2 linked regions of the Rattus norvegicus genome follow. The protein of the gene in region 1 purifies or fractionates together with the protein of each later gene. This does not show direct contact. Links are inferred from orthologs where the notes say so. Each region holds a gene or a part of one and is shown in the gene's direction. Other genes may lie near its edges.

Region 1 (4,074 bases):
GAAATCATAGTAATCTTATAAGGATGGGCAACCTGCTGAAGAATCCAGTTGCATAAAGTATGGGATGTTTCTTCCCTTAGCAACTGCTCCCAGTGGAGAAGCTGCCAAAGTATGCCCAGGCAGGATTTGAGGGCTTCAAAACGCTGAACCGGATCCAGAGTAAACTCTACCGTGCTGCCCTGGAGACAGATGAGAATCTGCTGCTGTGTGCTCCTACTGTGAGTACTGGCCTGTCTCCTTTTTTCTCCTGCAGTGATTTGGTGGCAAGTTGAATCCTAATCTTTATACTAGGCCTTACCTTTTTTGGTTGAGTCAGAGTCTCTATGTAGCCTTGGCTGTCCTGGAAATCACAATAACCCTTAAACTCAAGAGATCTGCCTGCCTCTGCCTCCCAAGTGCTGGGATTCTCTGTTCTGTAACAACCCACTGGGTCAGTGTTACATGGGCAGTCCTGGGGTCAGTTCTGTTTTGGTGATATCCCTAGCAGATAAACAGTTTTTGTCACTGACCCCTCTGTAGGGTGCCGGCAAGACCAATGTGGCTCTGATGTGTATGCTCCGAGAGATAGGAAAACACATCAACATGGATGGCACTATCAACGTGGATGACTTCAAGATCATCTACATAGCTCCTATGCGGTCCCTGGTACAGGAGATGGTGGGCAGCTTTGGAAAGGTGAGTCTTCTCCAGAGGATCCTGCTGCAGCTTCCATGTGGTAGGGAGGGGCCTATGCATTACCGCTGCTTTTGTGAGGGAATCTCAAGATATTTTTTGCCATTTCCAAGGTAGAATTTGACCCACGTAATTTCTTAAACAAAAATGGTGTCGCTGCATCTTACGGTATTTCTGTCAAATGAATGTGGTTGATAGCTTGTGGGTTGTTGCTCTAGTTCCACTTTCCTATGTGTGTCCACTTTCCTGCTGTACGTAGGGCTTTCATAGTCTTTGCCTCATCTAGCCGCGTGGAATTTAAGTAACGTTTGTTCATCTTTCCTGACTCACCAGATATGTAACGTCTCCTTGTCTACAGCACAGTAACGGCCACCAGGCCCTTCAGGCACCGTCCCCCATTCTTAGACCTTAGGCAAGCTCCCTCCACTGAGCCGCACCTCCAGCCCTGTCACTCATTTTTGCTGGTGATCCTTTCTTTCCCCAGCGCCTGGCCACATATGGCATTACTGTTGCTGAGCTGACTGGGGATCATCAACTATGCAAGGAAGAAATCAGTGCCACACAGATCATTGTCTGCACCCCTGAGAAGTGGGACATCATCACACGCAAGGGCGGGGAGCGCACCTACACCCAGCTGGTGCGGCTCATTGTCTTGGTGAGTGGGGAGAGACGTGGGAAGGAGAGAACAATGTGGTTAGGAGCGCTTGGCGGTCACTCTAGTTGGTGGTGTGAACCTGGGGGAGCGGGGCCTAAACATGAGACAGACTAAAGTAGCCAGCTGTATTCCAGAGCATCGGGCAATTTATACTGTGAGGATTAAGAAGAATCACATGAGTAAGGTGTTCAGTTATAAGGACAAGGCCACACATGGCAAAACCATGTTTTACCATAGAAGCATATGAATAACAATAGTAATATAAACTCATTTCTATCCACTATACCTGGGAGGAGCATGGAAACATGTTCCAGGAACAATGATCATAACACTCTGGCGCACTCAGAACTGTCACACAACTATTCTTGGACTGTATTATAACAAGGGAGGTGGGGGGTGGTGGGGTGGTTTGGTTTTTAGTTTTCTTGTTTGAGACAGGGTTTCTCTGTAGCCATGGCCGTCCTGGAATTGTCTTTGTAGACCAGGCTGGCCTCGAACTCACAGAGAGCCACATGCCTCTGCCTCCCAAGTGCTGGATTAAAGCACTAGATGAGGTTCCCATGCCCAGCTTTCCTTAAGGCCCTTCTATATGACTTTCTTTGCAAGAGTCATTGTGAGCTTCATTGTTGCCATTAAAACCTGAATCTGCATGTAACAAAGGCTGCCCAGTCATGCCTGGTGTTTGCCATGTGCCTCATCCTCTTTATAGCTTTTTTTTTTTTTAATTTGGCTTTTTGGGAAAGACTTATGTATTTCCCGGCTATCTTAGAACTTGTTCTATAGAATATGAAATATTTTGAATCAAATGGGAACACAAAAATAATTCTGTCCTCCAAGAACATTGAAATGTTTCTTTATAAATAATCCATTGTCACAAAGGACAGGTAGGAAGTGGGACTTTGCATTCGGTTATGTGGAAGTATCCACAGGGATTGGACTTTGAGCTGAGGGTTGAGTCTGTTTTGTTGTTGTTGTTGTTGTTGTTGTTGTTTTTCATTAATTGCATTTGTTTATTTTCTGTGATTTGCATAGTGTGTGTGTATGTGGAGGGCAGAGGAAAACTTGTGAAAGTCAATTCCCCTTCCACCATGCATGTTCTGTGAGTCAAGCTCAAGCCATCAGGGTTGGTAATAAAAAGTGCTTTGCCCTTTGAGCTGTCACTAGCTTCTGAGGGTTGATGCGTTAAGGTGTCTAAGAAAGGAGTTCATGTTCTGTGTTCAAAGTGGAAGTTGGGAAAACTGTGGCCTTAAGTTTTTGTTTTATTGAACACAGTTATGTACATTGGTTTGTGTACTTTTTATAGCTATTTTTGTCTTGCTGTGGCTGTGGCAGAATTGAGTATTTGTGGCAAGGGTTACATGGCTCATGAGCCTACAGTATTGCAGGTGCAACACCAGATGTTCAGAACTTTAAGAGAAGTTTGCCAACCTCCTTTTTATGGTACTTCATGTCTCTCCCACAACTGCTCCTAGGGGTGCTGAGTCCCTGGCCTGCCTACACCTTTGAATTCCATCTTCACTTTTACAGTGTCTCCAGATCTTCAGTGCTTACTGTATCTCAGAGGCACTGCTGTTGGCACTGTAAACTTATTGTCAGTAAAGCCTGGTAGTTTTTGATCTTGATGAAGAAACCTGCCCAGAGGGACGGTTTGGCACTCTAGCTGTGTCATGAACCTGGGAGAACCGGTCAGAGCCGTCATGTATTTGTAAGGAGATTTGTGGTAGAGTGGAGGATTCATGCACAAGTGCTAAGCAGTCTGCACTCAGTGTAAATTCCTACTAAAAGCTGCTTTGTTCTTCAGGTCTCTGGCTTAAGACTCCCTCTCTTGTCCTCATTAGGCATCTTAAGATGTATACGTGTACCGTGGACTAGTCTCAGGGGGGGAGGAGGTACAGTTTGCATCTTTCTGTTCCTTTCTTTTTTTTTCTTTTTTTCCGGAGCTGGGGACCGAACCCAGGGCCTTGCGCTCGCTAGGCAAGCGCTCTACCGCTGAGCTAAATCCCCAACCCCCATCTTTCTGTTCCTTAGGATGAGATCCATCTTCTACATGATGACAGAGGTCCTGTCTTAGAAGCTTTGGTGGCCAGGGCCATCCGAAACATTGAGATGACCCAAGAAGATGTCCGACTCATTGGTCTCAGCGCTACCCTCCCCAACTATGAAGATGTGGCCACCTTTCTGCGCGTCGACCCTGCTAAGGGCCTCTTCTACTTTGACAACAGGTATAAAAAGAAACTGGAAACTTGTTACCAAGGCAGTCTTCCTGTCCATTACCCTTCTCTAAGGAGCACACTAATGAGTTTTACGGTTCTTGTGTGTATTTTAGAAAGTATTATTGTTTCAATGGAAAGTAACTTTCTCCACAGTGTTCTCTGCAGAAATCTCATTTGTATAACTGTTGAACTTCTAGCTTCCGCCCAGTGCCTCTGGAACAAACATATGTGGGCATCACAGAGAAAAAAGCTATCAAACGTTTCCAGATCATGAATGAAATAGTCTATGAGAAAATCATGGAGCATGCTGGAAAAAACCAGGTCTGTTGATGGTTCTTGAACCTTTTCCATTTTTGACTTAAGCAGATTAACAAGATAACAGCATGAATCACTAATGATCAGAAATGACATGAGTTATTACTACAAAACTTGATTTAAAAGATGGTCAGGAGCTAGGAGAGTCAGTATATGCCTTTAAGACCATAGCTTAGGGTGCTGAGGCAGGAGGACCTCAAGCCAAGTGGAGGTGAGTTT
Region 2 (4,822 bases), on another chromosome or scaffold:
CTGTTGCCAGGTAACTGTGGGGCAGAGCCTAGACAAAATGCCAACACATCTTTCACTGCATAAGGTGTTCAATACCATCTTGGGTTGCTGGGTTACCCTTGTAACTGTGTGTGTGTGTTTGAATTTGGTCTCTCTATCATGTAGATAAAGATCTACATCTAGACCTGGAACTCCATATGTAGCCCAGGCTGGCCTCAAATTCCAGAGATCCACCTGCTTCTGCCTCCAAAATGCTGGGACTAAAGTTGTGTACAGCCAAGCACTGCATGTTGGAGTGGGTGGAGGCCAGAGGTCAACCCCACCAGGTTTTTGGTTTTCCTCAGTCACTGTTCACCGTAATTATCCAGACAGTACCTTTCACTACACCTGGAATTGGCAACTGAGCCCTGGAATCCTCCCCTCTCCACCTCAGTGCTGGGGCTTTTTCCTGGGTGCAGAGGTGTGTGGGTGTGGAACTCGGGTCTTCATGCCTGTGCAGCAAGCACCTAAATAAGCTATCTCCCCAGCTCTTTTCCTTGTTTTCTTGAGAGCGGCTTCTCTGTAGCACAGGCTAGCCTTTAAACTACAAACCCTGGGTAGTTGCAAGCTGTAAACCCAGCACATAGACAGCTGAGTCAGGGGGATTGCCAAGAGCTGAAGGTCAGGGTGACTGCAGAGAATTGAATTCAGGACCTCTGGATGGAGCAGTCAGTTGTGTTTAACTGCTGAGTCATCGCTCCAGATCCGTCATTGCCTCAAATGAAGAAAGAAACAGAAGAAGGAAGGAGGGAAGAAAGAAAGAAGAAAATGGAGAAGGAGAAGATGTAGAAGAAAAAACCTGGAATTGTGTGTTTTGTGCCTTGGTCCCAGCACTGAGGAGGCAAGAGGTAGGTGGGTGAGTTTGAGGCCAGCCTAGTCTACACAGTGAGTTCCAGGGCAGCCAGGGCTACACGGAGAAACCCTGTGTCGAAAAACAAAAACCAAAAACAAACACAAGAACACCCATCAAGAAAATATATATACACATATTATCGCGTATGTATGTATATATAAACATATATAGATAAATAACACACACTGATACAAAATGCAAAATCATCTTGGGTTATATGGTGAAACCTTGTCTGAAAAAAAAAAACAGAACACATTAAAAAGGAAAAAAAATACCAAACGGATGGATCTTTTCTCTCAACAATGTGAACTCCAGGAAGGAGAAGAGTATTTTGTCATGATCTGCGTCCCCCAGACCAAATAGTGGCTAGCACATACGAGAAATTTGGGAAAGAGTTCTCTCTTAAATAACATAACTGCAAAGACCCTGTTCAGGTACGCACTCTTTGACAGACTGCGGAAGGATATGTGCACGTGCATTACCTAGACGCATGCGTCGAAGGTCCGGGAAGTGTAAGGAAAAAGGGTGGAACATCTGTAAGTGTCTCGCGGTCATAGGCGGTTAGCTAGAGCGCGAGGTTGAGACTGACTTAGGTCCGATAACGCATGCGTAATAAGGTCGCTGGGCCGCGGAAGCTTAGGCATTTAAGGCGGCCTATAGCTTTTGCGCGTGCGCAGTGCCCGCGGTGTGGCCGGACTTGTGTGAGGGTTTCTTTCGGTTCCTATAACACATGCGCAGTGAGAAAGGCGGAGGGATTCGAGTCGCATTCACTCCCGGTTCTGATCGCGAGCTGAGGCCGCGCGGGTTGCGAGGAGAGGCCTGGTTTGCGCGCGCTGCGCGGACCACAGTGGATACCTGACGCGGGCACCGCCGAAGTGGAAGCCAGAGCGGGAGTTTTTGTTTGTGAACGGCGGCCGCGAGGCCTGAGACTAACGTCAGGCCGAGAAGAGCGCCGCGCGGTGAGTGAGTGGGTGAATGAGTGGCCTTAACGGGGTGTGGGGCCGCTACCCACAAACCCTTGCGGGGCCCCGAACCCTTTCCCCGGGGCTGTGGCCCGCTTCCCGGGTCAGTGCCTTAGACTTTACCCCCTGCGTTCCCCATCCTTTACCCAGAGTTCTCTGGGCACTCAGGCTCTCTTTCCCTCAGAGTCCCCCCTCCCCCAATCTCCTGCGGTCCCCTACCCACAGGCCCTTGCGGTTTGTGTGTTGCTTTTTTTCCTCGCCTTTTTTTTTTTTTTTGGTCGCATCCTGGACCTCTACCCATAATTCCTTTCGTCTCTGGCATCCTAGATATTTTACGCAGAGGCCCCCTGGCTTACGGGATATTATCCTTATGGCCTACCTTGAAACCCCTACTTCGTAATCTTGAAGGTATGAAGCGAGCAACCTCTAGAGCTCGAGGCTTCAGGATCCCTGGGCCCCACACCTCCTGACTCCTTTTCCTCTTTGTTTTCTGTGTTATTAGCCTTTCCTTTTTTTAGCTCCTGCCAAGGCCTTTTTTCAGGCAGGGGATAGCAGCATCCAGGAAATCTCACGCCTGTTTTGTTTGTTTTGTTTTGTTTTGTTTTTTGAGTGGAGGGGTCCTAGAAGAAACCTGTTCTAAATAAAGATTGCTAACATAACGTTTCTGGTCTTAGATTTGGGAAGATGACACAGTTTCTGCCTCCCAACCTTCTGGCCCTTTTTGCACCCCGAGACCCCATCCCATACCTGCCACCCCTGGAAAAGCTGCCACATGAAAAACACCATAACCAACCTTACTGTGGCATTGCACCATATATCCGAGAGTTTGAGGTGAGCACATTGGGAGTGTTCGGCTTCTGGGTGGGGGCGGGCTACCTTGAGGCATTCAGCTTCAAAACCTTTTTAGTTGTGTGGTGCGTGCGTGTGACTTGTACTGTTTCTTATATTGTTTCGTGCTTTTGTGTGCGTTTTAATTTTTTTTAAAGATTTATTAATTTTGTGTATATGAGTACATTGTCACTGTCTTCAGATACACCAGAAGAGGGCATCAGATCCCATTACAGATGATTGTGAGCCACCATGTGGTTGCTGGGATTTTAACTCAGGACCTCTGGAAGAGCAGTCAGTGCTCTTAACTGCTGAGCCATCTCTCCAGCCCGCGTTTTAATTTTTTTATTACACTTTTGTATATGTGTGGGTGTGTATGTGCAAACCGGTGAACATCAGAGGACAACTTGCAAGAGCCCATTCTCTCCACCTTGTGTGTCCAGGAGCTGAGGTTTTCAGACTTGATGGCAAGAGCTTTAACCTGAAGAACTATCATCTTTTGGTTGAGTTTTGAGACAGGATTTTGCTGTGTGTGTGTGTGTGTGTGTGTGTGTGTGTGTGTGTGTGTGTGTGTAGAGCTCAGTGTGGCCTTGACCTTATAGCAGTCCTCTTCCTCAGTCTTGTAAATGCTGCAGGTATTGCTTCCAGGAGTGGTTCATTTCCTCACAGAGTTAATATCTTTTGTATGGATATGGTAGTCCCTTGCCCAAGTTTATTGGCTAGATTGGTTACATTGGCAAGTGTATCTCCACCCTGTCTGGGTTGTTGTTTTGTCCTGCGGGAGGGGAGTTGGGGGTGGGGTGGGGGAGTGGTTACAGTCTTTCGTGGAGTCTTGGCTGGTCTTGTAGATTTCCCTTTGTCACTAAGGCCAGCCTTGAACTTACGCTTACTCTGCTCAAAGAGCCAGAGTTCTAGGTCTCTACCACTAACCCAGAAAACATCATATGTAATGCATTAGGTTAGCTTTAGCTTTAGCAAGAGGTAGCAGTAAGATGAAACCAGTGGAGAGCTGAGTCACAGAATGTCTGTTAAAGGATTTGGGATAAGGCAGTAAATGTCTGTGTTTGTCATTAAGAGGACAGGGTTGCATACACGACATGACTTAGCAGTGAAAAGTGATTGTTGCCAAGAAATCTGAGTTCTGGTCCTAGAATCCACAATGAAGGAGAGGATATGCTTTAGCATGTTGTCCTCTGATCTCTACATGCACAGTGATACATATACATCCTCATCTAAATAAACAAATGTAAAAATAAAGTGGTTTTTAAAGAGGATAGTGTTTGCTGGGGCTGAGCAGTGCGTCCTGCAGTGCTTGAGGCTAGGAGCTAGGGGTTGGCTCTGTACTTGCTGAGTACATATGAGTCACTTGAGCTCCTTGGAGTCAGTTCTCTTATGCAGAAAGTTTGTCATGCCCACCTTCAGAGCAGACCTAAGAAACACTGCCATATAGCCAGATGTCTCAGGAAGAACATTCTGACATTAAGTAGGAAAAGTAGAATTTACTAGATAACAGAAAGGTGATTCTTCAGTAATATTTGTCTACATGCCACTTGAGAAATGTTATTATCCAATAAACATTTACTTTAATGGGTACAGCTCAGTGGCACCCTTTTTGCAGATCATGTGCCAATTAGCATTTAATGAGAGCCTGGAGAGGATTTTATGACTTGCCATGGTGTTACAGATCGTCTTGCTTTGGAGGTCTGCCCTGCCCACCATCCTTTCAGACATATTTCTAACATTTGGCCCTCTGTGACAGGGTTCTTGGCTATGGGAAGGAACTAGGTAGCTTTGGTACTGTACCTTACAACCATGTTACCTATATCATGACAAATGTCAAATGTCTACAGGCATTTAGATTGATGTTCTTTTGTCCTGAGCTTTTTCTGTAGGCCTGACTGGACTCCCAACTCAGAGATCAGTTTGCCACTGCCTCTCAGTGCAGGGATAAAGGTGTGTGCCACCATGCCCAGCAATTGATGCTTTGGGTAAATACCAAAGATTGTTTCTATGTTTGTTTTTTAAAAAGGACCTTTAAAAAGACTTAATTTTTTTTATGTCTAGCAGACATAGTTAGTTGGACTAGGCAGAAGTTTCTGAACGCAGGAGGTTTCTATGTTGACCTCGCCAAAGGTGTGCAACAGTCTGGTCAGCATTGGTC

Evidence for each region. Proteins that work in one complex are often made in the same cells at the same time.
Region 2: the proteins of Snrnp200 (region 1) and Snrnp70 fractionate together in Homo sapiens (co-fractionation; 3 studies listed by BioGRID, with this or other methods). This does not show direct contact. The link is inferred for Rattus norvegicus from reciprocal best matches to the Homo sapiens genes SNRNP200 and SNRNP70.

What each region holds. Positions count from the first base shown.
Region 1 is NC_086021.1:134,892,052-134,896,125, forward strand, and holds part of Snrnp200 (U5 small nuclear ribonucleoprotein 200 kDa helicase), read left to right. Parts: intron 1-80; coding exon 81-218; intron 219-519; coding exon 520-675; intron 676-1,156; coding exon 1,157-1,327; intron 1,328-3,355; coding exon 3,356-3,549; intron 3,550-3,737; coding exon 3,738-3,861; intron 3,862-4,074. UniProt on the Homo sapiens protein: Catalyzes the ATP-dependent unwinding of U4/U6 RNA duplices, an essential step in the assembly of a catalytically active spliceosome. Plays a role in pre-mRNA splicing as a core component of precatalytic, catalytic and postcatalytic spliceosomal complexes.
Region 2 is NC_086019.1:105,009,676-105,014,497, reverse strand, and holds the start of Snrnp70 (U1 small nuclear ribonucleoprotein 70 kDa), read left to right. Parts: upstream 1-1,646; 5' UTR 1,647-1,830; intron 1,831-1,919; exon of another isoform or gene 1,920-2,241; intron 2,242-2,507; 5' UTR 2,508-2,517; coding exon 2,518-2,664; intron 2,665-4,822. UniProt on the Homo sapiens protein: Component of the spliceosomal U1 snRNP, which is essential for recognition of the pre-mRNA 5' splice-site and the subsequent assembly of the spliceosome. SNRNP70 binds to the loop I region of U1-snRNA.